Linked DNA regions of Elephas maximus indicus. The protein of the gene in region 1 binds, or shares a complex with, the protein of each later gene. Links are inferred from orthologs where the notes say so. Each region holds a gene or a part of one and is shown on either strand. Other genes may lie near its edges. The genes, in order: RHOA, NET1, PKN1 and ARHGEF28.

The links.
Region 2: the proteins of RHOA (region 1) and NET1 are in contact, whole or in part, in a crystal structure (PDB 4XH9), measured with the Homo sapiens proteins. The link is inferred for Elephas maximus indicus from reciprocal best matches to the Homo sapiens genes RHOA and NET1. Residues at the interface, in NP_001300870.1 of Homo sapiens: Arg5, Lys7, Tyr34, Pro36, Thr37, Val38, Phe39, Glu40, Asn41, Tyr42, Val43, Asp45, Glu54, Trp58, Ala61, Gly62, Gln63, Tyr66, Asp67, Arg68, Leu69, Arg70, Leu72, Ser73, Pro75, Asp76, Pro96, Thr100, Pro101, Glu102; in NP_001040625.1 of Homo sapiens: Glu177, Ala178, Glu181, Gln270, Leu271, Lys274, Lys281, Gln291, Leu294, Glu295, Arg300, Lys301, Leu302, Asp303, Trp305, Ser306, Asp309, Arg312, Ser313, Arg314, Val316, Lys317, Leu320, Leu321, Glu324, Gln347, Leu350, Ser351, Ile353, Asn354.
Region 3: the proteins of RHOA (region 1) and PKN1 are in contact, whole or in part, in a crystal structure (PDB 1CXZ), measured with the Homo sapiens proteins. The link is inferred for Elephas maximus indicus from reciprocal best matches to the Homo sapiens genes RHOA and PKN1. Residues at the interface, in NP_001300870.1 of Homo sapiens: Met1, Ala2, Phe25, Ser26, Lys27, Asp28, Gln29, Val43, Asp45, Ile46, Glu47, Gln52, Glu54, Thr163, Lys164, Arg168, Glu169; in NP_002732.3 of Homo sapiens: Glu40, Arg43, Arg44, Ile46, Arg47, Leu50, Lys51, Lys53, Glu54, Glu57, Asn58, Arg60, Arg61, Leu77, Arg78, Ser81, Leu84, Asp85, His88.
Region 4: the proteins of RHOA (region 1) and ARHGEF28 are in contact, whole or in part, in a crystal structure (PDB 6BC0), measured with the Homo sapiens proteins. The link is inferred for Elephas maximus indicus from reciprocal best matches to the Homo sapiens genes RHOA and ARHGEF28. Residues at the interface, in NP_001300870.1 of Homo sapiens: Arg5, Val38, Phe39, Glu40, Asn41, Tyr42, Val43, Glu54, Ala56, Trp58, Arg68, Leu69, Leu72; in NP_001171164.1 of Homo sapiens: Lys1140, Ile1142, Arg1144, Glu1145, Val1146, Ala1147, Asn1148, Glu1149, Phe1154, Ile1156, Ala1158, Ser1159, Ser1160, Pro1163, Glu1164, Met1165.

Annotation. Positions count from the first base shown.
Region 1 is NC_064838.1:53,868,126-53,875,493, forward strand, and holds the start of RHOA (transforming protein RhoA), read right to left. Parts: upstream 3,014-7,368; 5' UTR 2,924-3,013; intron 1-2,923. Other genes in the region: TCTA (T-cell leukemia translocation-altered gene protein), read left to right, coding at 3,526-3,748, 4,096-4,150, 5,719-5,761. UniProt on the Homo sapiens protein: Small GTPase which cycles between an active GTP-bound and an inactive GDP-bound state.
Region 2 is NC_064822.1:53,568,559-53,576,550, reverse strand, and holds the start of NET1 (neuroepithelial cell-transforming gene 1 protein), read left to right. Parts: upstream 1-4,977; 5' UTR 4,978-5,151; coding exon 5,152-5,244; intron 5,245-7,992. Other genes in the region: neuroepithelial cell-transforming gene 1 protein-like, read left to right, coding at 2,544-2,564, 3,180-3,254. UniProt on the Homo sapiens protein: Acts as a guanine nucleotide exchange factor (GEF) for RhoA GTPase. May be involved in activation of the SAPK/JNK pathway Stimulates genotoxic stress-induced RHOB activity in breast cancer cells leading to their cell death.
Region 3 is NC_064821.1:33,038,283-33,045,819, reverse strand, and holds the start of PKN1 (serine/threonine-protein kinase N1), read right to left. Parts: upstream 3,017-7,537; 5' UTR 2,215-3,016; coding exon 2,176-2,214; intron 1,170-2,175; coding exon 866-1,169; intron 1-865. UniProt on the Homo sapiens protein: PKC-related serine/threonine-protein kinase involved in various processes such as regulation of the intermediate filaments of the actin cytoskeleton, cell migration, tumor cell invasion and transcription regulation.
Region 4 is NC_064820.1:77,859,292-77,866,442, reverse strand, and holds the start of ARHGEF28 (rho guanine nucleotide exchange factor 28), read right to left. Parts: upstream 3,001-7,151; 5' UTR 2,846-3,000; intron 1-2,845. UniProt on the Homo sapiens protein: Functions as a RHOA-specific guanine nucleotide exchange factor regulating signaling pathways downstream of integrins and growth factor receptors. Functions in axonal branching, synapse formation and dendritic morphogenesis.

The DNA.
Region 1 (7,368 bases):
TATCACTAGCAGCCGTAATGCTTAAACTCAAGCTGCTATCTACAAAAGCTCATCAAACCCAAATTAAAAAAACCTCTTAAAAGCTGAAATACCAGCCTGTCTCCTGGCAGAGTTAACACAAATCTCTCCGCTCTAGGACAACTAAGAAGACCCTAAGTAGCACCTCAGCTCCCGCTGTCACTGCTTGGTCGGACCCCACCCCATGGACAGGAAACACCTGAAGATCTGCCTGTTTTACTCCCCTAATAACTTACACCACCATATGACCAAAACCAAACCCGCTGCCGTCAGGAGTCGCCTCCAACTCATAGGGACTCTCTAGGACAGGGGAGAACTGCCCCATAGAGTTCCCAAGGAGTGTCTGGTGGATTCAAACTACTGATCTCTTGGTTAGCAGCTGTAGCTCCTAACCACTAAGCCACCAGGGTTTCCCCACATGACCAGGACAAACTTTTAAAAGAGTTAACTGACAAAGAATCAGGACTATGAAAAAACTCCAACAACAAAACCACTCTCACACATGCACATGCACTGTTTACTTGATATGAGCAGTTTCTCCCAAACCCACTCCAAATCAATACTCAAAAAGGCCCACAGTTACCTGATAACATTTTAGGCTGAACTATGATGGATTTGGAGAAAGGAAGTCTGGACTCCCCTCTGGAAAAAGTTGGTTCATCAAGAAGACCCAAATACCCAAAGCCAGGACTAGGCCAGCCACTCACCCTGCACATTCATTTATCTGCATCATTTAACTGCTACAGGACCACCCAGATACAGAGGAGAGTGTTGTGAAAGCCAAAGAACTGTAATTTGTTTGACAAATTTTTTTAGACTCTCCTAAACCAAAAAAAAAACCCATTGCTTTCAAGTTGATTCCGAGTCATACTGACCCTACAGGACAGAGTAGAACTGTCCCATAAGGTTTCCAAGGAGCGCGTGGTGGATTCGAACTGCCAGCTTTTTGGTCAGCGGTCAGCTCTTAACCACTATGCCACTAGGGTTTCCAAAGGCAACCAGCAAGGTGTAAAAGTGGAAAACACTGGACTAAGTTGGAAGCCCTGGATTTTAGCTGACTCTAGGCCTGATACTCGGGAGTGCGTGGAGAATACCTTACAAAAAAAAATTCTAATCTGCTCCCCCAACAAGATACGTGAGCTTGGTAAATTTACTTAAGTCTCTGGGACTCAGTTTCCTCATCTGCAAAAGGGAGGGGAAAGGGTTGGATTACAAGTCCTGAAAATTCCTTCCAGGTCTAAAATTCTGGTTCTATGAAGTCAGTTGATAGCTATATTCCTACTCTCTTCTCCCTCCAGCACAGATCTCTTATGAGAACAGAGATCATAAGTCTCTAGGACTAAAATCTGACTCAAAGCGCAAGTTCCATATCATATTTTTTGTTACATTCCCAAGAGCCATCAGTGATCTACCACAGTAGATAGGAACTATCCTTAATACAATTTATCAGAAGATAACCTCAATAAGTCATCTTTTACAATTCAGAAAAAGTCTTGTATTTTCAGTGCAAACAACGTCACTTGTGCCAAGCCCTCAAAATAATATGACCACCAATTCAGTCATGTCTAATGGAAACCCTGGTGGCATAATGGTTAAGAGCTACAGCTGCTAACCAAAAGGTCAGCAGTTTGAATTCACCAGGTGCTCCTTGCAAACCCTATGGGGCAGTTCTATTCGGTCCTATAGTCACAATCGACCCAAGGGCAACGGGTACAGGTAAGGTGACAATCATGTACATGTCCAGACTACACATTTGTGTGGGGGACACTAAAACTCAAAACAAAACTAAAAGTGGCTCAAAAATTCTCACCACATACAATATTTAAAAAAAGCTTTTAATACAGAAGTATTTTTTTCCCTCATTTTTGGCAGAGAAGAATATAATTGATTACACGCCTGCAAGAAAAAATTTACTTCAAAAGGGTAAAGAAAAAAAGAACCGACCAGATCACAAACAGGTAAAATTCTTAAATCAAAACTATCAAAAAAAAAGTGTCATTTTTTACCTTCTTCCTCAACTCTGAGGCAAAAAATATGTCATTTTTCCGCCATAAACTACTAGACATGGTTTTTGATCAAATCGATTTGTGCGCAAATAATGCTATTTAATGAAGACTACCTGTAACTGTGGATCCAATCAGTAACTAGGGACAAATGTTTAGATGCTTCCTAATCAAAATAATAAAAAGGACTAATTAAAATTGCAAATTAATACTCTATTTTGGTGGAACATAGATCATAAAAAATGCTCTTTTCAAGCGGAAAACGTCCTCACTTTTTCTTATTTTACAATACAAATAGCCCTGATCCCTAAGATTACAACACAATCTCCAAAAACACTACATTAAAAAAGGAAATGTACCCCAAACACTGAATTCAAACAGCATAAAACATTCATATATTACACTGAATGTAAAAAAGCAAAATGGAGTTGTAAAGAGTAACTTTCCCATTTCAACTCCTACAGCCACGCGCGAGTCGCAAAGGCCGGCAGTACCGCGCGGTCGCGGGGCCGGATCCGGAGCCCCCGCCCTACCCGGCGCGGCCGCCGCGACTGCTGGGCGGGGAACCGGCGCGGCAGTGAGAGGAAGCGCTGGGGAGGGGCGGCGGACGAGCAGGCAGCTTGGGCTCTATCTACCAGGCCCGACCGGGCGGGGGAAGGGGCGCGGGCGGCGGCGGGGCGCGCTTCCGGGGCCTGAGCGGGCGGGGCGTCGCCTCGGGGCGCGGGGCCGGGACCGAGAGCCGGAAGCCATGGGCCGGGGACCGTGGACCGGACACCGGGGGCGACCGGCTGGAAGCAGCAGGTGGGGCGCGGCTGCGGAGGGGCGGCAGGCGGGCGACCGGAACAGTGCCGAGCGGGCGGACCAGAGGCGCCGCGGCGCTGGGAGTGAACCCTCCCGCTCACCTTTGGCGGCGACTCCGAGTCCGGCCTCTTCGTGGCGAGGACGCCGCTCCGCGAGTCGCGAGCTCGGAGGCGCTGGCTGGTCGCTGAGGAGGCGGCGGCTGACTAACGAGAGAACCGAGGAAGGACGGCGGGCGGCGGGCGGGGAGCTCGAGCGAGCGAGGGCGGGCGGTGGCGGGAGGGCGGGGAGCGACGTGCGCGCCCCCGGGCGCCCGGCGGGCTCGAGCCGGCCACAGTCGCGGCCCCGCGCACGCGCGCGCACTCACAATTCAGCCACGATTGCTCAGGAGCGTGTCCACGCCCTCAGAGCAAGGCGCTTAACCAATCATTGCAGCCGCACGGGGCATCACGGGAACTCTGGGGCTATAAAAGACCTGGTTGCTATTTTATACCCCTCGAGTCACTCATCCTTTAAGCCGGGTGGGTCTAGGTGCGCGTGCGCGTCGTAAATACTCCTCCCCGAACTGCCAACTCTTCGCGCAACCGCGGTAGGCCTTCCCCGCCTGGGCTCACGCGTGCGCACTAACCGGCCTGGCCCCGGAAAACTAGACGCCTGCGCGGTGGGGACTACAGTGACAGTCCCTGGGGTGGGGCGCAGGCCAGTCATGGCGGAGCCTTGGTCCGGGCAGTCCTTGCAGGCTCTGCCGGCTACGGTGCTGGGCGCACTGGGCGCCCTGGGCAGCGAGTTCCTGCGGGAGTGGGAGGCGCAGGACATGCGCGTGACTCTCTTCAAGCTGCTGCTGCTGTGGTTGGTGTTAAGTCTCCTGGGCATCCAGCTGGCGTGGGGGTTCTACGGGAACACGGTGACCGGGCTGTATCACCGCCCAGGTGAGGTTCCCCATCAACCTCCGCGGGCCGCCCGCCCCCAGCGGACTGTACGGCTCCCCAGGATCTCCCTAGACTACCGCTGGTTCTCCGAGAGTCTTATCAGAATTTGACGCTGAACCCATACTGTTTAATGCCACCATATCATTTCACGCCAGAATCCCCACCAGCCCACCCATCGCATTGTAACGTTCCCCGAATTCCCACCAGACAATACCGCTTATCCCTTAGGACCCCCACCTGACTCTTCACCAAACAATATAACTGGTTCCTAACCTAACCTGGGCTGATGCCTGCCCAGAGCCCCACCCCACAGCCTGCTGCAGCTCTGGCTGTATTCCTGCCCCCAGGTCTGGGCGGCCAGAACGGATCCACACCTGATGGCTCCACGCATTTTCCTTCCTGGTGAGTATCTGTCCCCACCCCAGCCCCATGCTTGGCAGGCAGAGGACGTTCCTGTGCCGGAGGTGGTGGGAGGGGGCTCTCGGGGTGGGAGTCCACCAGTTTTAGTGGCCTTTGCAGCAAGCTCCAAGGTGTACAGCCAGAACTCAGGCTTCAAGCTGGGGGTGACACTGATACCTGGACAGCTTCTCTAAGCATGCTGTCCAGCAACCTGTGGAGTGGGTGGTAGGGACATTATCACCATTTTACAGATGAGGGAACAATTTCAGAGAGATGAAGTGACAGGTCTGTTGCATTCCTCTCCAATGTAAGCCCCTCATTTGGGAAGCCAGGAGTCTCTGTCCTTAGAGCACTGACTGGCCTCATCAAGGCCAGCCTCCTGATGTGTGAAACATGAACTCACTAATCAGGCAGTCATTCAGCTAATCTGAGCTGAGACCAAATTCTGTCTTAGTTCCCTGGAGCTGCCGTAAAAAACAGTAATTAATTTCTCACAGTTCTGGAGACTAAAAGTCTAATTAAGCCAAATTGGGGTTGATTCCTTATGTAGGCCTCTCTCCTGGTTTCTGGTGGCTGCCAGCAATCTTTGGCTTTTCCTTGCTGCTTATTGATGCATCTGCTTTCATTGTCACATGGCATTTATATTCCCACTACATGACATACTCCCTTTTTATAAGACACCCCTCAAAAGAAATTAGGACTAGGGCCCACCCTACTCTGGTTTGATCTCATTTGACCTAGTTGATAAGAAAAGAGAAACTATTTCCCCAAACAAGGTCATATTTACAGATAACAGGGATTAGGACTTCAACATAACTTTTTGGGGGAAACATTTAATCCATAACACTCTATCCTCTGTCTACCCCAAGTTCCATTTCCTTCCCATGTGCAAAATACGTTCATCCCATCGCAAAAGTCTTAACCCATTCCAGTGTCCACTCTTAAGTCCAAAATCTCATCTTTTGAATCATCTAAATCAAGTATGAGTGACACTCTGGGTGTTTTCCAACCTGGGATAAAATTCCTCTCCATCTGTGGACAGATGAAACCTAGAATACAGGTTATTTGTTTCCAAAATATAATGGTGGCCCCTATAATACATAGGAGCTTAGAAATGAATGAGCATATGGAGAGGAGGGACCTGTAGGGCCCTTATCCTAAGGTCCAGGAAACTATTGAAGGACTCCAGGAGGTGGGGCCTGATCTAATTTGCCTTATAACTGCCTGTGTCATGGCAAGATGAAGCAGTCCAAGAGTGAAGGCAATAGGCTAGTTAGGAAGCCTGCCACTGCCCAGGTTTCTGTCTTGTGCAACTGGGGAAGGATGGTGGCACCATAAGGTGGGGACCCAGGAGGAAGAACAGGTCTGCAGGGGGAAGGTGTTGAGCCCAGTGTGGACTGTGGGGCCTGTGAGGCACTAGGAATCTAAAGCTCAGCAGAGAGGTCTGGATCGTAGTATGGCATTACTGAGCCCAGCTCAGCTCCCAAGAAGGGTCTGGGATGAGCCAATCCCAGGGACTGCTCTGCTGCCCATGAAATAACCCCTCTCTTCTCTCTCTCCATCACTTTCAGGGAAACTGCAGCAAATGAACCTCTCAAAACCCACAGAGAATAAAAGAAGGCAACAGGGAGTCTCCTGGCTCCCACATTGGGTTCTCCTGCTGCCAAGTCCTGTGGATGACTACAGGAGGATTGGGGCTGGGGACAGGGAGTACCTTAGCACTTGCAGGGCTGGGCCTCTGCTGCCCTCAGCCCTGCCTCCAACAGTCCCAGGCATTGGGTCAGTGAACTTTGCCTCTACCCTGATCTGTGTGCCTTAAGGGGGAAAAGTATGCTGTTCCTCTCTCAGGGGTTGGAGCTCAGGAGAAGCCTTTGGATTGGGGAAGCCAACAATCCATTTTCTGTCCTATATCTCCTGGCCCTCTTCCCATCCCCCTGTGGTATGACCCCATAGAGATTTGTCTCCTTGAGAGGATGAGGTTGCGGTTGACCAGCCATGGGATTTGTAAGGAAGTCTGTTCTCCCCTAAGCCCTGGGTTCCCTGGATTCCTTTGGTTTTGCTTTGTTGGCAGGGAGCCAGGGTATCCTGGCCTGGGCCAGGCTTTATACTCTGGGGCGGCTTCCTGCCCGCACTGCTGAAGTGCCCGTGGGGTCTCAGGTCTGCACCCTGCTCCCTCACTGGGAAGTATTGAGAAGTTACTTAGCTATTTAGATATAAGGTCCTATGGCAGGGGGAGCTAGCACCATTCAATCATGGAGGCACTGAACACCATCTCCCTGGCCCATCTAGATCTCTTTAGGTATGACCCAGGCAGAGGAAATTGTCATTTCCGAAATGTCCTATTCATATTCCTCAGTCTTTCTGGAGGGAAAATTGGGTGCCTGAAAGGGGCAGAGCCCACCAGCTGAGCTCCTGGGGTGGCCTCCCACCCCCGGCACTGAAGTGTCTATGGGTCTTGAGTATGTACCATGTCCTTCACTGAGGTACTGGGCAGTTAGTACAGAGCAGCCCCATCATGCACTGCATCCTCATCACTTCCCACCTTGACCTGGAACAACAGGATCCTCATCCTAAGAGCCCCAAGGCTTAGCATCTCCTCACCAGCACCATCTCAATGCAGAAGAGCCACAGGTCAGGCAGGCCTGCCACCTCCACAGCAGGCCAGGGGAGCTTCCAAAGGTGTGTGTTGCAAAACATCCCCAAAGAAACACTGGTTGCTGAAAGCAATGAGGCCCTGTACCTGCCTCACTCTCTAATGGCAATATCTCTGCCTGCCTCTGCTGGGCTACCAGCTACCTCAGTGTCCCACTGCCCTCTTCCTCCCAGTTAGAGGTCACGTTTCGATATGGCAGCCTTTGCCTAGGCCATCCTTAAGGCAGAGGGGCATTGGAAGTGGGGGCTGTGATGAACACACTCCAGAGATATCTTCTGGCTAGCAGATTGATGGTCTTCCCAGGTCCACCACACACCATCACCACACACAGGCTCAACTGAAGACATGGCTTATTAAAAATGGAAGTGGATCAGTCGTGTGGTTATTCAGACAGGACAAGGCCATGCGTGCACAGGGGTAACTGAAGTGGGAACACCCAGGGCGGCAGGGGCTGTTGCTCTTCAGGACCCAGAATGCAATGGTTTGCACAGGTGAAGAGATGATGCCAGCTCCTTAGAAAAGTGATCGTGGGGTGCCCAAAAGGAATATCCCCATCAGCCCTTACAGG
Region 2 (7,992 bases), on another chromosome or scaffold:
ATTAATGATCTGAAACAACCTTTTCAGTCTTCTGATACTGAACATTGACTCAAGATTCTCTCAGGCTCATCCCTTAGAATAGTAATTGAACATTCACATGTTCGTTGCTCCTTTTTTAGACACTATCTACAGTTGTCTAAATTATAGTTAGACCACAAACCTGAACATACAAAATGAAACTAAGATTTTAGTGTTAATGATTTGGGATTTTTGTGACTATCATCTCTAGACCCTATTGGGCTCATGTAGTGTCTATTTTTATATAAAATGATTTCTACCTTTACCTCCTGGGTCCTCAGCTAAAGGAGAGAAATGAAAACTATCCCTTCCCCTCATTATCTTGACTTACTTCTATGATAACTAAATGGAAAAATAATAGTTTTGAGAAAGACATGGGGTAAGAGACCCGTATGACGCCCATAACAGCTTTTTCTCTAATTCTCATTGCACATAGTCCTTTATTCGTGAAACTAAATGACCATAAGTACTGGCCTTACTTGCATCATTTTTTAAGTGATTAAAGTAACTGAACCAAACTACTGGGTTCTATCCCAGGCTCTTCCTATTAGCTCTGAGAATTTAGGTGGATTAGTTTTCTTGCCTATAAAATTAGGGAACTGGATCCCACAGGAAACCCTGGTGGTGTAGTGGTTAAGTGCTACGGCTATTAACCAAAAAGTGGACAGTTCGAATCCGCCAGGCGCTCCTTGGAAACTGTACAGGGCAGTTCTACTCTGTCCTATAGGGTCGCTATGAGTCGGAATTGACTCGACGGCGGTGGGTTTGTTTTGTTTGGGGATCCCATGATCTACAAGGTGCTTCTACTTCAGTGCTACATAAAAATACCTTCTACAATCAGCCACAATCATACATGCTGCCCAGATGTGGCCAGGTAATAGAGGATAGATGATAAAATATAACCAATACCCATTACTTAAAAAAAAGGAGAAACAAAAACAATGAACACCTCAAACCAGACTGATGAATTACCATGACCTTGTATACAAAGCACATTGGTGGCTACAGAAGAGCAGCACTGGTCCTTCTTAAAAGAAGTAACACTGTCCTACAGACCTTAATAAATCTCTATATAGATTATTTGTCTTTATAAATAGTCAGTACCTATTATTTCTTACTCTGCCCTATTCATTCTTCAACCCCTGCAATTTACTTTGTTTATTCCACTGAACTTCCACACTTGAGGTCACTGTTAAACTTGTGATCACTAAATTCATGAATTTTTCCTTACCCTCCTTAACCTATTTTCAATAATTAACACCTTTTCTTCCCTTGGATTCTTGCTTTCTCTCCTTGTAATTGTTAATTCTTTTCTCTTGACATTTATCTTAGTTATCTAGTACTGCTAGAAATACCACAAGTGGATAGCTTTAACAAACAGAATTTTATTCACTCACAGTTTAGGAGGCTAGAAGTCCGAATTCAGGGCGCCACCTCTAGGGAAAGGCTCTCTCTCTGTCAGCTCTGGTGGAAAGTCCTTGCGTCCTTTCATCATTTGTGGGCCCAGCATTCCTTGGAGAACCTATGTGTCTTGGCATCAATATTCCCCTGGGTCTAGGAAGTTCAGCACAGGGTCCCCAGGTCCAAAGGACATGCTCCACTCCCAGCCCTTCTTTCTTGGTGATAATAGGTCCCTCTCTCTCTGCTCACTTCTCTCTCCTTTTGTCTCTTATAACATAAAAGGTGATGCAGGCCACACCCCAGGGAAACTGCCCTTACATGGATCAGGGCTATGACCTGAGTAAGGGTGTTGCATCCAACCCTAATCCTCATTAACGTGACATAATTGAGGAATCATGGAACGAGGAATATCATTGCTGATGTCAGATAGGTCTTGGCTGAAAGCAGAGAATACCAGAAAGATGTTTACCTGTGTTTTATTGACTACGCAAAGGCATTTGACTGTGTGAATCATGACAGGTTATGGATAACACTGCAAAGAATGGAATTCCAAGACATTTAATTGTGCTCATCAGAAACCTGTACATAGACCAAGAGGCAGTTGTTTGAACAGAACAAGGGGATACTCCGTGGTTTAAAATCAGGAAAGGTGTGTGTCACGGTTGTACCCTTTCACCAAATTTATTCAATCTGTGTGCTGAACATATAATCTGTGAAGCTGGACTATATGAAGAACACAACATCAGAATTGGAGGAAAACTCATTAACAACCTGCAACATGCAGATGACACAAACTTCTTGCTAAAAGCAAAGAGGACTTGAAGCACTTACTGATGAAGATCAAAGACTACAGCCTTCAGTATGAATTGCACCTAAACATAAAACAAAAATCCTCACAACTAGACCAATAAGCAACATCCTGATAAACAGGGAAAATACTGAATTTGTCAAGGATTTCATTTTTCTTGGTTCCACAATCAACGCCCATGGAGCAGCAGTCAGGAAACCAAATGACATGTTCCATTAGGCAAATCTGCTCCAAAAGACCTCTCTAAAGTGTCAAAAAGCAAAGGTGTTATTTTGAGGTCTATCATGCGCCTAACCCAAATCCATGGTCTTTTCAGCTACTTCATATGCATGTGAAAGCTGGACAGTGAATAAGGATGACCGAAGAAGAATTGATGCCTTTGAATACTGCAAAGAATACTGAATGGACTGCCAGAAGAATGAACAAATCTGTCTTGGAGAAAGTACAGCCAGAATGTTCCTTAGAAGCAAGATGGCGAGACTTCATCTCACATACTTTGGACATGTTGTCAGGAGGGACCAGTCCCTAGAGAAGGACATCATGCTTGGTGAAGTAGAGGGTCATCAAAAAAGAGTAAGATCCTCATCGAGATCAATTGACACAGTGGCTGCAACAATGAGCTCAAGTATAACAATGATTTTGAGGATGGCACAGTGTTTCGTTCTGTTGTACATAGGGTTGCTATGAATCGGAAGCAACTCAACGGCACCTAACAACAACAATCCTGCCTCATTAACATGATGGACAGCTTATTCCCAAATGGACCATAACCATAGGCATAGAGACTAGGATTTTCAACACATCACAAAATGAATGATAATGAGATCACAAAATAGGACAAGCACACAATACTGGGGATCATAGCCTAGCCAAGCTGATATATTTTAGGGGGATGCAATTCAGTCCATGAGACCATTCATCCAAAATTAGGTCTCTTGCTCTTTTTGTCCAGATTTTCTCTCCCAGGCATCTCCTTCATCCCCAAGGCTTCAACTCTCACTACTATGTGGCTGACTCTTCAGCCTAACTCTACCTCTCTTCTGCCTAAATCTGCCTGTCTTCCAAGTCCCTGTCCAACATTTCTAACATCTAGGTGAGTATTTTCATTTGTCTGTTCTTCCATCACCTCAGACTCAAGTATATCTAAAATGAAACAATTTTCTTTCAAAACTTGTTCTTATTATTTTCATAAACAGTTGCCCCTCCCATCTTAAAATCTTCAGCTTCTTTGACTTCTTGCATATATTGTCTCTTGCATGTATCCTTTTCCTTCCTGATGTCCTACCTTAGGTAAAGTTCTTGATACCTGATTATGATTTTTGCATTGCTGCCAATCATCTTTCAGACCACCTCAAACACTAGTCATATGTCTCTTCTTTCAGCATGACTTTCGTTACCTCTCTCACCTGCTCACTAAGACCTACTCCTTTTTAAGCACAGCCCATTACCTCACAGTTTGAGTTTACTCACTCAATCTACTTTGGAGCCTTGCGCTTTTCCCTTGCTGAAAAGCTGTCTTGTATTAGTTATATCTTCATGTGGCCTATCCACAATGGTATTAGCACTTAGGATCAGATATAAAACCTTTTATATATATATATATGTCAACCACAGTATCTAGAACAGTGTCTTTTTCGTAGATTTCTCCAATCCTAAGAATAGAAGTAAAATCATTTTTTGTGAAACACTGGCATCAGGTCATTCATAGTAATATACAGTTAAGTTAAAATCTTACCTTTCAAAATAGAATACAGTACTTTGTGTTAAAGAAGAAAATCTGCTTCATAGCAGACCTACCAGAGCAACAGAAATCATGTTGTTCCATAGAGAAACGGATTCAGACTAGAAATGTGGAAACTGTCACTAGTATATGACTTTGGGCAGGTAACTTCTCTGTGAGGCTCATTTCTTCCTGTGTAAAATGCAAGATAGTTTAAGTAAGTCTTTTGATTTCTATTAGGAATTTATCAAGATTGGTTAGTTCAGAATAAAGACCTCTGTTATATATTTTTAGAACAAATCACCTTTTATGTATTTTTATAACATCTAGTATACAGATATCAAATTTTAAAAACATACAGAAAAAATACCTACTATTAAGTCTAAGAAATACTGAACTTTATCCTCCAAAGTAACCCAGTTATGCTTTGCCCATAACCCTATGGGAGATTTACTTCAAGAATAGAGTAAACTTTATTTACCCTGCTGGTCTTACGAAAAAATAGTGGGAACCATTTTCTAAGGGCAGGCAATTTTACAGTTGTGAATATGTTTGCAACTTATGTAAAATAAAAGCAAGTTGCCTGGGTAATTAGGTTTTTCTTTAGCCTATACAGTTATTTAACTCTGAATTCCTACTTTCTTGCTTGAAGTTGTCAATTGTGCATAATAAATTTCTTCCTAGGTGAAAGGGTTTTTATGGGAAAAGTATCCCTGCCTGTGACTAAAACTAGATGAGATAACCTAAACAAGCAATTAGTTCTCCATTGGGAATGCTTTCTAAATCAGGAAGAAAAGCTTCTGCCTTACATTAACCCAACTTCCTTTTCCCTTCTCCTCTTATTTTCTTACTATAGAAATTCCAAACCTATCGATAAAGAGCTTTCTCTTCCACAGCGAAAACGGAGAAGCCTAGGTGTGCCACAGCTGTCAGTTAACTCGCGTCACGTGACCCCCTAGGTGCACGCCCACTAAGGCTAGTTCGCTGTTTTGGCCCCGCCTACAGAGCCTTGAGGTCTGTGTGCTTTTACCCCAGCTCTCAGAAGCTGTTAGTTCCACCACAAGGAAGAGACATGGGCAAATGGCTGCCAAGGGTGGGTGAGGACTCAAAAGAAAAGCCTGTGTGACTCAGTAGTGATCCGAGTCAGCAGAGCTGACGCGGATGTGGATCACTTGTAAAGATTTTAAGGAATACTCGGTAAAGCATGGTGGCGCATGATGAGATTGGAGGTCTCCTACCTATTAAAAGAACTATTCGAGTCCTAGATGTTAATAATCAGTCCTTCAGAGAACAAGAGGTAAGACTTTAAAATAAAAATTAGGCAAAAGGAATGTTTTCTAACTCCATGAAACTTTTAAGATTTTTAACAATTTATTAACAGTATAATTTTAAACTTTTGATCTAACAATTTAAGTATGGTTACTGAGTGTTAATATGTATGACTTTGATTATATCCAAGTTTGAGAAGTGTGCTTAGGAATTGTGGTATAGGTTTATTACATGGTATAGCTTGAGTGTACAGAAACTTCTATGCGAAAGGAAAAAGATTTTAAGTATATAAGCTGCTCAGTTTGGTTAAATTGGTCACTTTTCTGATGTTCTATATATATATATTTTTTAAAGTATATATATATATATATTTTTTTATCGTATTTGCTTAGCCTTAGGAACTGCTTTATGGGGTAAGAAGAAAAATAAGAATCCCTTCCTTGTAAGTTCATGCTAGTGGATAAATTGCAACTAAAGTGCTATCTGACCTGGTGTGGGTTTTTGCTTTTTCTTTCCACATCTATTAAGTTCATTGTGTGCTGCTTTTGTTTTCTTCAGAAAGAAAGATACGTTAAAACATTTAAGCACATGATCATTATTTAAATACTTTGAAGTCATTATAGTTCTTAAAAATCTTGATGAACATTTATCAAAGTAAATCAAATGCTTTTTATACAATTTTAGGTAATCTTTACAGTTAATTTAATACTATACGGTATTGTATTAATTTATATACTGCAATGTATATTATGTGGTATATATCATCACTTATGTTAGAAACAGTGTTTCTGTATTCAGTCATCTATGTATCTATCTTGATTGTAGTGGTGGTTTGGTATATACCTACTCAAAACTTACCTAATCATACTTTAAATATGTGCAGTTTGTTGTATGTTAGTCATACCTGAATAAAACTGTTTATCATATATGTACAACATATACTTTTTGGTAGCTAAAGTAGCTGCCATGTTTAGGAGGTACGCTTTTACTTGGCGTGGTTTGGCTTTGGTTATTGTTTTGTTTTTTGCTTACTTAGGTTTTGGTTTTCTTGATGTGTCTATATTAAGCAAATCAAGTACGTGGTCATCAGTGTAAATACTGAACCTGATAATCATCTTTTGGCCCATCAAGAGGCAGTCTTTTTTGTTTGGTATTAGACATGGGCCATGTTTCTGGCACAGCTGTATTCAAAAGATTAAAAACACCAGAAATGTTGTCAGGTTTTTAGAACTGGTAACATAGCCTTAAAGAAATGACTTACTTGAATATTCCTATTACCCTTCTTACTAAGTAGAAAGGGAAGAAATCCTATCATAACTCATTTTTATTTTTTTAAAAATAGCCTTTATTTTCATTCTTCTTATTTTAAACTTCTTGCCAGGTACTAAGGAAAATTATTCATTTTGTAATCCAAAACAAATAAACTTAGACACGTACTGTCTTTTTTAAATGTCTTGATTTAATTGACTATAGAAAAACCTCCTAAAATAAGCCCTCTTAAGTGACATCATTATTAGAAGAAAAACCTTTTTACAAGATGCTGAAGTCATGGCAGAATTTTTTTGTGTTGTTGCATTGACATGAAGGGTACATTCCAATAAAAGATTTTACATTGATCCTAACAATTTACCGTATATAGATGTTCAAAAAATATTTTAAGGTATAAAATCTGAACAACAATTGGATTGTGTAATTAATTAGTTACCCGGTCTGAAGGCAGGATTTCTTATAATAATGTGTGTGATTGCCTAGCTAAACTAGATAGTCTGATTAAAAGTTAACCTAAATAATCAACATGAATTTGTTAAGGGTGTTGGGTTTATGCTTCCCTTCCAAGTAAACTTTAGCCCTGGTGAAAGGTTACCTACAGTAGAAAGTTTCTTGAGTATGCTGGTATTCTTTATTTTCAAAAACGTTCAGATTGTCCTTTAAGGAGAGGGTATAGTTTGAATATCCATAGCACTGTTTCCAGTGCTCCAAAATAAAAACAATAGAAACATTATATAATCTTTACTTTTGGTGGTGGTAGGACGGATATACCCCTGCTCTTTTATAACCTCTAACTATTGTACCTGCATTGTGTGTGTGTGTGTGTGTGTGTGTGTGTGCAGTTCTCTAAAAACAGTCTCTTAGAAATGTGTTTTGTGACAATGCAAATATTTAAGTTCTTAGTAACTAAAACAAGATAGTTAAAATAGTTCAGCTGGATTTCTGAAGAAAAACTATTTTTGGTTTTAGTTCACATGAACCAAATCCTACCCTGTATTTCAAAAGATTGGGAATTTTTATCCCAACCTTATAGGCAACCCGTGATTGCCTAATCTGTATCACTTTTCCACAAAAATTTTCTGTATAATTTTTTTTTCAGGTAGTATACATATCCTGAAATTTAGTAGTATACTGTGCTGTAATCCATATCCAGTACTATGCCTTTACATTTCCATCACACTTTTCAAGTTATTCATTAAAAGTGTTTATGCTTTTGAAATATTAACACTAACAGTTTGTATTGTTTCTGCCAAAAAATCTCCACATGTGCCATTTTAGTAAAGCAGGAAAGTTGCTATTGGATCACCAAAAGCAAGTTGGAAAAGTGGAAAGTCTTCCCCTTCCCCCACTGGTATTTCCTGATTTAATACCACACTTTCTTACCAAGCAAGACATTTTGAATTAGATGAACTTTTAAGAGTAACATATCCTTTCTGGAGAAATGAGATATGGGTGGGTTTTTAAAGGACTGTGGAAATATTTAACCACCAAATACTGCTTAGCATAA
Region 3 (7,537 bases), on another chromosome or scaffold:
AATCTCTGGGTATTTATGCAACAGAATGTAAGTTTCTGGGTGTTGTCTAGGTGTTGCTGAGATTGCGTGTGTCTCTAGATACTGATGTGACGTGATGTGATGTATGTGAGTCTTTGTGTGTCACTGGGTGTTGGTGAGACTGTGTGTGAGAGTCTTTAGACATTGATGTGACGTGTGTGAGAGTTTTCAAGTGTTGTCTGGGTGTTGGTGAGATTGCGTGTGTCTCTAGATACTGATGTGATGTGATGTGATGTGTGTGAGTCTTTGGGTGTCACTGGGTGTTGGTGAGACTGTGTGTGAGTCTTCAGACATTGACGTGACGTGTGTGAGAGTTTTCGGGTGTTGTCCAGGTGTTGGTGTGGCAGGATGCAGGAGTCTCTGAGTGTTCATGTGACAGTGGATAAGTTTTTGGGTGCTGGCTGGTGTTGGTGAGGCCATGTGTGTGAATCTCTGGAGGCTGGTGTGACCGTGCGTGAAAGTCTCTGTGTATTCACGTGACAGTATAAAGCCTTTGGGGTGTCATCCAGGTGTTGGTGTGACTAAGTGCATGAGTGTCAGGGTGTTGGTGTGACAGCAGGTACATCTCTGGGTGCCGTCTGGTTGTTGGAATGACTGTGTGAGACCGGGTGTTGACAGCATGTACGTCTGGTTGTCGATGTGAGTCTTTGGGTGTCAGGTGGCTATGTGGACTTCGCTCTTTGCTATGACTGTGTTTGGAGACTCAGAGTTGCTGTGACAGAGTCTGTCTCTCTGAGGCCAGTGGAGATGGTATTGAACCTCTCGTGCAGGCCTGGCTGCGAGGGCAGTGGGGGCACACCTGGGTAGTGGGAGCCCCTGGAGTCCTGCATCCCCAGCCCCGGCTCACCACGGGCAGCAGTCGCAGGGTCGGGCAGCACCACGTGGGCGTGCAGCTCCTGCAGCTGCTGGTGCAGCAGGTCGAGGCGGCGCGAGGAGCCACGCAGCAGCAGCTCCACGGGGCCCAGGTTGCGACCTAGGTCAGTGGTGGCCCGCCTCAGGTTCTCCGCACCCTCCTTCAGCTTCAGCTCCTTGCGGATCTCTCGCCGCAGCCGCTCACGCTCTAGCTCCAGCTGCTGCTGCACCCCAGGGGCTGCCAGGTCCGCCCCTGCCAGGCCCAGCTGTTCCAGCAGGGACCAGTTGCGCGACTCACTCTGCAGGATGCAACAGGGTCAGTGGGGGATGGCTCTGGGATGCAGACCACCTTAGCCAACCTGGGCCCAGCCTCCTTAGGTACCCCCAAAGACAGAGCCTGCTCTACCTCCTCAGAGCCCCAAAACTGGGAGGTGAGAGCAGGGCCCTGTCCCTGCTTTCAACTCCCTCAAACTGTGAGGGCCCAGGGCAGGGCCTGCTCCCTTCCCCCATCCCTACAGACTAGGGGTCCCCAAGGGACAATCTTGTCTCTCTTTATCTATTCCTCATGCGGTGGGATTCTGGGAAGCAGACCCCACTGCCCCACTACTGTCCCCCCAAACTAGGGGGTCTCGAAAGTAGGCACTATTTCCCCTCTGCTGTCCCCCAAAGTAGGAAGTCCCAATAAGTGACCCCATCTCCTTTCTACTGTTCCACCCCAAATCAGAAAATCCCTAGGACAGGTCTTGTGGCCCTACTGCTATCCCCCATAAAGTAGGAGGCCGTGAAGGTAGCTCCCATCTCTCATCTGTCCTCCCCCTAAACTAGGAAGTCCTGATTACAGACTCCATCTCCTCTCTGCTGTTCCCACAAACTAGGAGGTCTCGAAGGTAAGCCCCAATTTTCTCTGCTGTCCTCCCAAACTAGGAGGTCTCAAGGGAAGACCCTGCCTACCCTCTGCTGTCTCCTCCAAACCAGGAGGTCCTGAGGTGAGGCTCGGTCTTCCCTCCCATTTCCCTACACAGGAGGTCTCAAAGGTAGACCACTGCCCCTCCGCTGCCCTCCAAACTAGGAGTTCCGGAGCAGAGGCCCCGCCTCCTTCCTCCTCTACCCCACAAACCTGGGAGCCCCAAAGGGCCGTAAATATTTCCTTCCTTCAAACTGAGAGCTCTGAGGCCAGGGCCCCATCTCCTTTCCTTGGTCTAAAAGTAAGAGGTGTGGAGGGCAAGGGCGCCATCTCTCACACACCCTAGCCTGTCCCATTTGGGGTCCTCTACCACCAGCCCACCACAGGTACCCGGCCCCCACCTCCAGCTCCTGGTCCAAAGGGGGACAGGGCTCCGCCATCCTGGGTCCAGGGTGAGGGCCCCGCCCTCTTCCTGAGCCTCAGCCCTGCCAGGGCCTCTCACCACCACTTCCTCTTTCCTGCCACCTCCCAGCACCCCCCGCGGCCGGCCAGCTCTGGGGCTCTGGGGCATCCAGGGGAGCTTCCCCTTAGCCCCACTCCAGGGTCAAGCCTGCTTCCCAGAGGCAACCAGGGGACTGTGCTCACTCCCTGTCCTGTGAAGGTGCCCAAGGTACACGGGTGTGCACTTCACTGTGTACATGGCAAACAGGCTTCCACAAGTGTATGCAGGCTCCAGGGACTGACTTGGATGTGTACATGCTCTCATATACCTACAGGTGTGCTCAAAAACACAGGCACACTCCCATGCCTATGGGTGTACACGTAGAACACAAGCTCCACGCATGTGTGCACACTCCCATGCCTATGGATGTGCACACAGAACACAGGCTCACACGTGTGCATACTCCAGTGCCTATGGGTGTACAGAAGGAACACAGGCTGAGTGCACATGTACATATCTACATGTCTGTGCACACAGCACAGACTCACAAGTGTGTGCACACTCCCACGCCTATGGCTGTGTGCACATAGAACACAGGCTCACACGTGTGCACTCTCCCACACCTGTGAGTGTGTTCATGGAACACAGGTTTCACAAGTGTGTGCACATTCTCACACCTACTCACATTTACACCTGCATGCACACACCTATGAGTGTGTACAGGAGTCACTGCAGAACCTGGACATACACACTTTCATCTGCCCGTGTGGACAAGCCTACACCCTCACACATGTACACATGCTCCCCACAGCCCCACAACCTGCCCACACTCCCAAGGGCCTGCAGCCCTGCTGACGGCTCCACGTGTCCCTCTGGCCAGGCCCCCCTGTCCCGCCCCCTGTCCCCGACTTCCCCTTTGGGGTTGGTACAGCAATTTCTGCAGAGGCGGGGCCCCTTCCTGCAGGCATAGGCTGTCTAACTTCCTGCTTCCTCCCAGTCCAGCTGCCCATTGCTGCTGACCACAGCTCTGAGGTCTGGGGACCCAGCCAGCCCAGTGCGTCTCCCTGAGACCAACACATTGTGGGGGACAGCACCGAGGGGTTAGGATAAGGAACAAAACCAGCAGCCCACAGACACTTGCTAACCACGCACTAATGCTCAGATACAACTATTAACCATAGTAGTTACTAGAAGCTCCACCCAGGTCAACTAATGCAACTCCTCGAGGTAGGCACTATTTTCACCACATCATCTAGATGAGGAATTAGGCCCAGAGGGTGCCGTAACTTGCCCCAAGGTCCCTCAGCCAGCAGGAGGCAGGCCAGGATTTTAAAAGGAACATCCAGTATCTGAGCACTGGCTAAGTGCTGCACCTGTGTTATCTCCCTCCACTCTGAGAACCCATTTCACAGATGAGGAAAGTCATCACTAGCTGCTGCTCAAACTCAAGGCCAGCTGCTCCCAAGAGAGGGTTTGCTGCAGGCCAAGACCACCCCTCGCAATAACCCTGAGTAGCTGCTATCATCCTCCCACTTTACAGGTGAGGAAACAGGCTTAGAGAGGTAAGAGCAGTTCTCAAGCAGGGGCAACTTCACCCCACCACCAGGGACACCTGGCAATGTCCAGAGATGTTTCTGGTTGTTACAACCAAGGGGTACACTACTGGCATCCAGTGGCTTGAGGCCAGGGATGCTGTTCAATATCCTATAACGCCCAAGACAGTCCCCCACAGCAAAGAACGATCCAGCCCCAAGCATTAAGAGGGCCGAGACTGAGAAAGCCTGGGTTAAATGACAGAGACTCAACCCCAGACCATCACTGCTCCTCAGTAGCTATCTGACAGCAGCCCCATCTGCCATGAGTGGCCCCGTATCTGTCTCTCTCCTCTGCAAACACCTTTTTTAGCCCATTTTTATAATGACAGAACGGAGGATGGAGGTTCAGAAAGGCAAAGGCACTGTGGCCAGGGCACACAGGAAGTGACAGCACTCACATACCCCCTCCCAACCAGGCCAGCCCCACACCCTCCCCAGCAGGCAGAGCAGGGGTACAGCCAGGAGCGAGGCCAGCTTAAATTGGGGAAGTCCAGGCAGAGAGGAGGAGTGCTGCTCTGGGCCCACCTCTGGCCACTGAGCCCTGAGAATAGGGAGGGAGGGCAGGAGGCCCAGCCTCCTGGGCCCTCCTCTCTGGGGTGACTCACTCCTACCCAGGGACGAGGGGTCACCTGAGGGCCAAGAAGGCAAACCCAGGACACAGGGGCCTGACCTGGCCTCAAAGAATCCCTGCTCCCCCTCACCCTGAAGCAGGAGGCTCCAAGCCGAGGGCACCCACTTCCCAGAACCCCCTCTCCCCAGAGCAGTCTGGGACCTAGACCCCCTTGTCTGGAGATTTCAATGCCTTGGGAGTTTCCGGAATCTGCACAGGACATCCGTTTGCCGGACACAGAATAGACAGGCACACATCGGGGAAGACAGAGGGACAGGGCAGCAGCCCAGGCAGCCACAAGAATGGAATTGTGGGGGGCGGGGGCAGAAAGCGGGGGAGCCAGGCACAGGTGGAGCCTCGTGGCAGGAATCACAGCCTTCATCTGGGTCATGTGTGGTACATGTCAAGCGCATGCACGCGCGGGGGAGGGGGGCTCCTATACAGCCCTCCTGGGCCGGGGGTGGAGGCAGGGACCTCGGCCCACCCCACCCCAAGGTCTGACCTTGTGTGATCGGCAACACCAGATACGCCCAGCTCCTCGGCAAGGCTGGCAGGCCATCAGCAGGACTGGGGGGGGGGGTATCATAGGGGATCATGGGGAGACACAGAGGGAATGGGGCAGGTGCAAAAGGAGATGAAAACCTGTTACACAGAGACCACAGGACAACCGACTGCATGGTGAGATGCTAAAGGGGCCTCTAGGCACAGGACATGTCTCAGACTTGGATCACTGAGCCAAAGAAAGTCGGAGATCAACCTGGCCCTACTTGTCCCAGAGGTGGAAGGTGAGTCCAAGGCAGTGATATCCTCAAGGTGGCACAGGGAGGCCAGGGGAGACCCTGGCTGGCAGCTTGGTGCCAGTCATGAGTGTGTGTATGTGTATACAGGGTGAACCTGCCCTGATGCCAACGGACGGCAGGTAGAATCCCAAATCCTGGAGCACTCCCTGTTGACCCGACACAGCCCACCTGGGTAAGGTCCCACCCCGCAGCCGGTACCCCGGAGATTAGGCTTGAGGGTCCCCCGTCCCCCCGACCTAATTAGGTGACTCGGGCATTTCTGCCAACAGGTGCCAATCTGGGTGGCGTCGGGACCATCGTAAATCTCAGTCCGGAGGCAGGGCCGCTGGAGCTTTGTTGTGCGGGGGAGGGGGAGGGGCCGGGCGGTGTCCTCCCTCCCCGGGCATCGCGCCAGCCACCTGCCCCAGGTGGAGAGCTGCATCTCCCGGGAACTGATCGCTGCGGAGGGGGAAGATGGGGGCCGACAGGTACCGGGACGCACAGCCAACCAACCACCCGAAGTCGCGCCTCCACCGCGCCCGCTCGGGTCCTCGGGGCCGGGCCGAGCTTGGGGTGCAGCGGGGCTCCTGGTCCTCCCTAACCCTCCCAGTCCGTACCTCCACCTGCAGAGAAGGGGGCCGCGCTGGCTCCGGGGTCCCGGCCCAGGGAAGGGGCACCGGGCGCTCGGAGGCCCCGCCCTGCCGTACCACTTTGGGGGCCCCGGCAGCCGCGGGCGGGGGTCCTGGCGCCGTCCGGCCGCCCCACCGCTGCCGACGCAGGTGCGCCTACCTGCACGGCGTCGCTGGCCATGTCCTCGCGCCGCCCGCCAGGGGTCCCCGCGGAGGGAGGGGCCGGCGGAGGAGCGCGCGTGCGCCCGGGCGGGGCTCGGAGGGGCTGCGCGGCGCGACCCTGGGCGCGCGGCCCGCTCCGGCCTGCTCGGCTCCGGCCTGCCCGGCCAGGCCGCCGCGTCCGCGCGCCGCGCCCTCGGGCCCAGCGGCCGGCCGCGTCACGTGACCGCCGAGGTCGGCGCCCGGGGAGGGGGCGGGGCGAGGGGGCGCGGCTCCCGGCGGCCCCTGGGGCTGTGGGGTCCAGCGTCTGCGCCCCCCTGACCGTCCCTCCCACGCTGGCCCTGCCGCCGGGTCCCGCGCTGAAGCGCGCGGGAACTTCCTCACCCTGCCTGAAGCAAAGGGCGAGCCGCTTCCAGCCGGGAGGGCCCTTTGGGCCTCCGGGGATCCCCTCGAAACCCAAAAAATAACAATAACAACTAACCTAACCCCTCCGTTTGCAAACTCAGGCCTCCTGGACCCATTCTGCTGAAGAGTCTGCCATTCAAGGGCACGGGAGCTTCCCCACTGCCCGAAGACAATCACGGTTCTGGACAGATCTGGGTTCAAATCCCTAAGGCTCAAGGACGACCCACACCCCTAAGGCGCCACATCTGAGGCATGGAAAGGGTTTACCCACTTCTGGGATTTGGTAAAATAAAGAGATAGTGCATGTCAAGTGCTGAGAACACAGTAAGCACTCAATAAATGTTAGCTGCTGTCATTTTTAATATTATTAGAAGGGGTTCGAATCTCAACTCAGCTGCTGACTCTAGGCCCTGTCGACCCTGTGGCCGCTGGGCCTTAGTTTCTCCCTGTAAAATGTGGACAAACCTCTTCTTGGGGGCCGGCTGTGAAGATTGATGGGGTCTGCAAGGAACCCCATATGCAGGTGGCGCTCCATAAATACGGGCTCTACCCTTGGGGAGAGCCGAGACCTCAGGGGAATTTCTCCAAGGTCCCCAGGATCCGGGCTCTGGGCTCCAGGCTTCGGGCCAGGAGCACTCCCTGGCGGTGGGTCCTGCATGCGGTCGGCGTCCTCCCGGGACCTGCTGAAATACAGACGGCTGCAGGTACCTTGGTTACGCGTGGCTCTGGGAGGTTTACATTGTCCCAGAGACCCAGGCGCGGTGTTTTCTCTTTGCATTTTTCTTTGAGCTACTCTCTGGGAATTTTAACAGAGAAAAAGAAGAATTAAGCCGACCCAGAGCCCGCCCACTTTTCACCTGTGAACATACTGAGGCCCAGAGAGTAGCCCTTCACTGCAGTCATGGAACCTGGATGTTTATTACCCTTGCCCTGAGGGATATGGTGTCTCCCTCTAATTCTTCAGCAGACCCATTTTACAGATGAAGAGGATTAGGCAGAGTGAGGCTCTGACTTGACCCGGGGACTGGGCTGGCGGGAGCTCCCCTTTTCTAGGGACAGGCCCTCTCTTGCCTGCCAAGTTCCAGGCGCCTCCTGGGATGGAGCTGGGAAACCCTGCCAACTACCCACATGCACTCCGTGAACA
Region 4 (7,151 bases), on another chromosome or scaffold:
GCTTTGCCTTAGTAAAGGATCTAGACCCAAGCCCTATAGGACGGCATAATATTTACAGTACAACTCTTAACATGGCAAAATTCCCTGAATTTGGTGCATTTCAAGTGTAACACTGTTTATAATTTAGCACTTCTCAATAGGAGTTGCCCGGCTTGACCCACCTCTTCATAACAAACCTTAGTTAAGGTCACAAGGGAAAAAAATCCCATAGCTTTTCTGCCCACTGAAAGCAACCTAAGTACAAATGCAATTAGAGAAAATGTACATAAACCAGATCTCTCATATCTGATCAGTAAATTAAAGCATAATAAAATTATAGTCAGCCTGGGAGTCTGAGAGTCATCTGGGCTCAGTTTATTACCATCTTAGCTGTGCCCCAATAGTAAAGGGTTTTCCAACATTTGTATCATAAATCTTTTATCTGGAGAGTCAGCACTTGATCATAAACTCTGGGAGGACTTGAAGTTAGAGCTTAAGTGGTAACCAGTTTTATACAGAAAGCTTAATATAAAAGTAATATTATATTCTGCTATTTGCTTTAATACCTATTTAGAACACGTTTCATTTTCTCACATGGCATACTAAAGGAGGTCATGTTATCAGAGCTCACCTGAAATTCCGGCCCAATTTAAGTCTAAGCCACAAGCAGTAGTTTCTTATAAGAGCACAATGAAAAACTATTCCAAACTTTTCTCCAGTATTCACATTATAAAAAGGGTGTGAAACCCAAGTGAGGCCCCTGATGAAATTTCATAGAACCTTAGTGACCAATTACTGCTTTCCTCTTTACCTTTAAGTATTTCCAAACTGCTTAAAGGATTGGATGGATGCTTCAGAGGTTATGGCACACCTGTTACATAACCTGTTCTTGCTTGGCCAGGTTATGTGGTTTTGATAAGGAAAAAAAATACAGTCAAAAGGGCAAACACTGATTTTCTGTTCCCCATTCTCCTGTTAGCCAGGACACTCATCTGAGTCAGATACTCAATAGCTAGCTGTGTGCCTCGGTTTCCTTCACCACTAAATATGAGATCGGATGCTGTCCAAATTCTTATTTGATAAAAGTCAATGAGAAAAAAAAAGTCAATGAGTACAACTACATATGAAATCCACATCAGAACATTACATTGAAATATCATATTGTATTAAAAATTCCAAAACCTTTTGCAGTATTCATTTCTTTTCTCTAGATACTCCAAAGGGATTAGCTTGGCCATTGGTCAAGACAGGGCAAACTCCCATGTGTTTTAAGAAGGTGTATAGAAAAACCCAGGAGTCCCCGGGTGCTTCAAGTGGTTAACATGCTCTGCTGCTAACCGAAGGGTTGGAGGTTTGAGTCCACCCAGAGGCACCTTCGAAGAAAGACCTGGCAATCTACTTCCATAAAATAAGCCACTGAAAACTCTATGGAGCACAGTTCTACTCTGACACACATGGGGTTGCCATAAGTCAGGCTCAACTGAAGGGCAACTGGAACTAAAATATAAAAACCCAGGAAAGATGCATAGAAACCTTCCCAGGTGAAGTTATCACTCTGCTTGGATTGTCCTGCGCAAAGAGGAACCCCTCCCCTCAAACCTAACAGAATCAGGTCTTTGATTTTTTTTTTTTTTCTTTTTTTTTAACCGTGAAAACAATTTCGCTTACCCTGACAGCTTCAGGGCCTAGGAACACACGATGACAAAGCTTCAGAAAACCAGGGACCCCATGGGACCTGAAATGATCAGTTCTTTCTAAACGTCTTAATTTTTCATATTTCTTGCCCAATTGGCGCAAGTCAGCGGTAAACCTCCAAAGTGCCAGGTCTTAGGAAACTTGCCAAACCCAGGCAAGGTCAAGGAGAGAGACGCTGCGCAAACACTGATGTTGCCACCTTTCCTCATCCCACCCCAGGTATAACCAACAGGGGGGACGGGGTGGGCTCCCAGGAAGGCAGATGGGTTCTCTCCTGGAAACCGAATTGGTGTCTGGGATACCAGAGCTGGGTTTACAGGGCGGCCCCAGCACCCAACCTCCAGGCAGCCCTCCTTAGGCAAGGATGCCGCCTCTGCCTAGCACATATGCCTCATTATGACCCCTTTGGAGACCCTACACTCGGGAAGGTTATTGTCCCCCCATCCCCACCCCCACCCCACCCCCACACATACACACACGCACACGCCTTATATTCGAGAGGGGTAAAAAAAAATCCATAAAATAAACCTAAGAAAGTCTGACGGAATTCTGACACCACCCCCCAACAAAATAACTATAAATTTTTTTAAGAAAAAAACACAGCAACTGTTTCCCCACGAAATAACTGTTAGCGCTTCTGCATCGCTAGTGTTCCGAGCTTGAGCCCCGCCGAGTACCCTTGGCCCCAGAGCGAATGCACGGATGCGGAGGGAGGACCCCAGCTTTCGAGACTCTCCCTTCTTCCTGGCCAGCACCCCCACTGCACGGCAGGTGTGCCATTTATTTCCTCGGCGCCTGAAGGGCAGAGGCCGGGCTCCCACTCGCCCATCCCCCGTCGGGGGAGCTGGGCCCGCGAGGGCGAGAAAGGCCGCCGCCGCCTTCCCGCTGCGTTCGGGGCCGCGACGCCCGAGCGACCCCGCGCTCCGCAGCTGCCGCCGCCGCGCCCGGCTGTGCAGCCCTTTGCACTTGTTGCAGTCCCGGGGGAACTGGGAGGCGAAGCCCATCCCTCACGCAGCCGAGCCCGCAGCTGCACCCCCTTTCCACCACTGCTGACCCATGCGTCCCCTGGGACCCTGGAGAAAGTGTCCCCACGGTTGCAAACTCAGGTAGACAAACTTTTCCGCCCAGGGCTGCCGGAGTCGCGGTGGATGGAGTCCCAAACAGCATTTACCTGGAGCTATGGCCCCGCTGCCTCCGGAGCCCTGGTGAGGCGCTGCGCCCCGCGCCCTGCCCGAGGGCGCCCCGGAACGCGCCCCAGGACCACAGCCGCCTGGAGCCGGGAAGGCTCTCCCCAGAGCTGCCAACGCCCGCGGCGGCACAGCTCGGGCAAGGGCGGAGGGGCGGAGCCGCAGCCGCGCTCCCGGGCCGGGCTGGCTGAGCTGGTAACTGGGGCCGCCCCTGCTCCCCCCCTCCTCCCGGCTGCCACTGGATCCCCCCGCCCGCCAACCTCCCGGCCCGGCTCGCAACTGCGGCATCACATGGCGAGGCCGGCCCGCTCGGCGGCCCGACACCGGCTCCAGGAGGAAACCTGAAGCTGCCCGACTGGGCTGTCGCCACCAGCCCCCTCCCGCCGCGGGGCTGAGGCAGGCTCTCCTCGGCCTCCCTCACCCTGCACGCAGCGCCAAGACGCGCAGCGGCTGCACCGCCCGGCCGGGCCAGGGAAGGACGAGGTTGCGCCCTGGTGGCTGCGCCCGCAGGGCCCGGCCCCAGGGGCATAGCCTCGGCGCCGGCGGAGGAAGGACCTGGCCTACCCTCTGCTGAAAAGAGTTGTGCCAGGCCCTACGGAGGTTCAGGCTGTCCTCAGCCAAAAGCCACCACACCCGTGACATAATATGGCCCAGGTCTATTACAATAGGCAAAAAAAAAAAAAAAAAATGCAGTATTATTTAAAAATCAGCAGAGACACCCTCTTATTTCAAGAGGCTCATGTTCCTCTGGCCCAGAGCTTTGCAGAGCTGCGATTCTCCTAGTTCATGCACGCAAGTGGCTCCATTAAAAGTCATCATAATTCAAAAACTCTCTTTTTTTTTTTTAAACAAGGAACAACACTGTGAAAGGGACTCTTTTATCCAAAGTGCTTTTCCAGTTAGAACTGATCACAACCCCAATGTGGAAGCTTCTCCATCAGCCCGAAAAAAAACCCAAACCGGTTGCCATCGAGTTGATTCCCACTCATAGCAACCCTATCAGACAGAGTAGAGCTGCCCCGTTGCGTTTCCAAGGAGCGCCTGGTAGATTTGAACTGCCGACCTTGGGGTTAACAGCCGTAGCTCTTAACCACTAGCCACCAGGATCTCATCTCCATCAGCCAGGCCTTCATAAAAGGAAGACAGTTATAGCAGCTTTAAAAGAAAAACCGATTTAACTTTTCTTGTAATTACCTGGAGTGTCTGGTTCTTTTGTTGTTGTTTTTTGTCCTGTATAGACGTGCCGCCCCAGAACCAGGACTGGGCCGTGGCCTGAGGAAGCTGTCCACCAAGGCACTGGGCCAGAAAGAATCACTCCTTCTCACTCCTTGGCCACTTTCCGCTTTCGCCATCACCTCTCCTGGGCCTTGGCCATTTCTGCTGTCTCCCTTCCTGCCTTCACCTTCTCCAGCCCACCTTGCTGATATGAGCTGGAGGAAGAAGGGAAGGCAGGAGAAGACAGCCTGAGGTTCTCAATAAAAAGTCCCTGTGTCTGGAGTCCTTAGCCCTGTTCCAAGGCAAAGGTCAAGGCCTATTCCACTTTAACAAGGAGGCCCACAGCGTTGGCACTGCACTTCTGACTCATGGCTGTAATCCTGGCTGATTCCACCCTACACAGCTGTGAACCTGCCTCAAGCACAGCGGTGGTGGAGAAGTTCCTGCCCATTGCCAGGACTTCAAGGTACTCAAGATGAAAAGAAAAGCAATATTCTTTTCAAAAATAAAAATGATTCCCAGCCCTAATATGTCTACTGTGGATTAACTGAATCAACACACCAGGAAAAATGGTTTCCAAACTGATGAGCAAAAACATGGGTGTGTTAGAAGCCTTTGTTGTTATTCTCCTTTTTCACATTACCAGTATTGAATCTTTGTGTATTTTCTTTTTTGTTTTTTTTTTTCCCCCTTAAATTTTTTTCCCACTAATTCTGTGTGGTATGTAGATAGAAAAAATAATAAGTGTGAGGAGGAATAAATATTATGAGAAGTTATACCAAAATTCCTTCATACTAAAAAGAAACAAACAAGGAAAACTAGTAATTGTGAAACCCTCCCGAACTGGGGCTATATAATCATGCTATCTGCAGTTTTCTTGCCTTCTCTCAAGCAGAGCTTGATCAATATTTAAATAAGTACTTGGCTTTCAACTTCTCTAGGTTCAAATGTTAAACAAAGTGTACTCCAGCAACCTTAAAAGAAGCCCATAAATGTATGAAACAGGAAGCTAACCGTTTTCATCTGATTGATTTCACTGCTTCAGATATAGGTCACTTAGGGCACTGAGATAGTGCTAAGCTCGACTGGGACAGCTTTTTGTCTAGAATTCAAAGACAAGGGAAGTGCAGGCAGCAAGAAACCAGTTTGGTAATTCAGTTGGGAAAATTCTTACTTCCTAATGAGCAGTATGCCAGTGCCCAGTTCAGCTCCTGTCATTTCTAGCTATTCATTCTCCATTCATCCTGACAGACTTCACGCCAGACAAACCTCCATAAAACCTTTCTTCACTATCCTGGTTTCTGCCACCCTCTGAACTTCAACAAAGCTTAATGATGGCCTTACCACACAATTTAGCAACTGATTATATTCACTGTCATATGTTGGATGATTACAGGTTCTTATCCTTTTTTTCAATTTGTCACTTGAAGGACAAAGACTTTCTTATCCCTATAATCTCCACAGTTCTAATACAGGGCACATCTAGAGTATAAAATATTTGCTTTTTTAATTTAACTATCATAGTCATTCTATTAGTCACCTTGAGGACTGATGTGCACCTGACCCAAGCTATGGTATTTTTAATCACCTCGTATGCATGTGAAAGCTGGACAATGAATAAGGAAGACCAAAAAGAATTGATGCCTTTGAATTATGGTGCTGGTAAAGAATACTGAATATACCAAGGACTACTAGAATAATGAACACATCTGCCATTGAGAAAATACAGCCAGAGTGCCCCTTGGAAGCGAGGATGATGAAACTTTGTCTCATGCACTTTGGACATGTTATCAGGAGGGACCAGTCCCTGGGGGAGACTACTGCTTGGTAAGGTGGACGGTCAGTGAAAAAGAGGAAGACCTTCAACGAGTTGGATTGACACAGTAGCTACAACAATGGGCTCAAACATAGCAATAATTGTGAGGATGGCACAGAACCAGGCAGTATTTGGTTCTATTGTATATGAGGTCACTATGAGTCGGAACCAACTCGATGGCAGCTAACAACAACATCATGTTAATTATACAGGAAGGAAAATGTACGTCACTCTTTTCAAACTTTTAAAAATGTATTAGAACCACCTCAGATTCTATTATCTACTTAATTCTTTCCCGCCCTTTAGTCTATCTCCTTTGCCAATAATTCTCAAAACTTGAATAATTGTAAATCTGATGTTTGGCCATACGAATGAGGGAATTATCAGTGTTTCTTAAATGAAAGTATGATACTGGGAGATCGTGGGTTTAGAGTGATGATGTTAGGGGTAAGCTCTGTAAGTAAAAATTGCCAAGTCCAAACAGCAACTCTTTCATTCACTAATGAGCCAAACTTGGGAAGAGCCAATCTTTCTAAGCCTCCATTTCTCCATCTGTAAAATGGGCATAAGAATAATGTTTACTATCATTATGAGGATTAAATGACTGAAAGTCAATATGAGACACATACTAAGGGTGCAGCTAACAGTGGCAGTTAATATTTTGGAGTATGCCACTGGTCTCGCCCCTTTGGGAGCAAGGAAGAATGAAGAAAATGAAAGATACAAGGGAAAGATTAGTCCAAAGGACTAATGGACCACATCCACCACAGCCTCCACCAGACCAAGTCCAGTAAAACTAAATGGTGCCCGGCTACCACCACTGACTGCTCTGACAGGAATCACAATAGAGGGCCCCGGACAGAGCTAGAGAAAAATGTAGGACAAAATTCTAACTCAAAAAGGAAGACCAGACTTGCTGGCCTGACAGAGACTGGAGAAACCCTGAGAGTTTGGCCCCCAGACACCCTCTCAGCTGAGTAATGAAGTCACTCCTGAGGCTCACCCTACAGCCAAAGACAGAGCAGACCTGTGGAACAAAACAAGACTAAAGGGGCGCACCAGCCCCAGGGCAGGGATTGGAAGGCAGAAGGGAACAGGAAAGCTGGTAACATGGGACCCAGAGTTGAGGAGGGAGAGTGTTGACATGTCATAGGGTTGTTAACCAATGTCATAGAACAATGTATGTACTAACTGTTTAATGAGAAACTAGTTTTTTTTTTCTGTAAACCGTCTAAAAATATATATATATAAAGTACAAC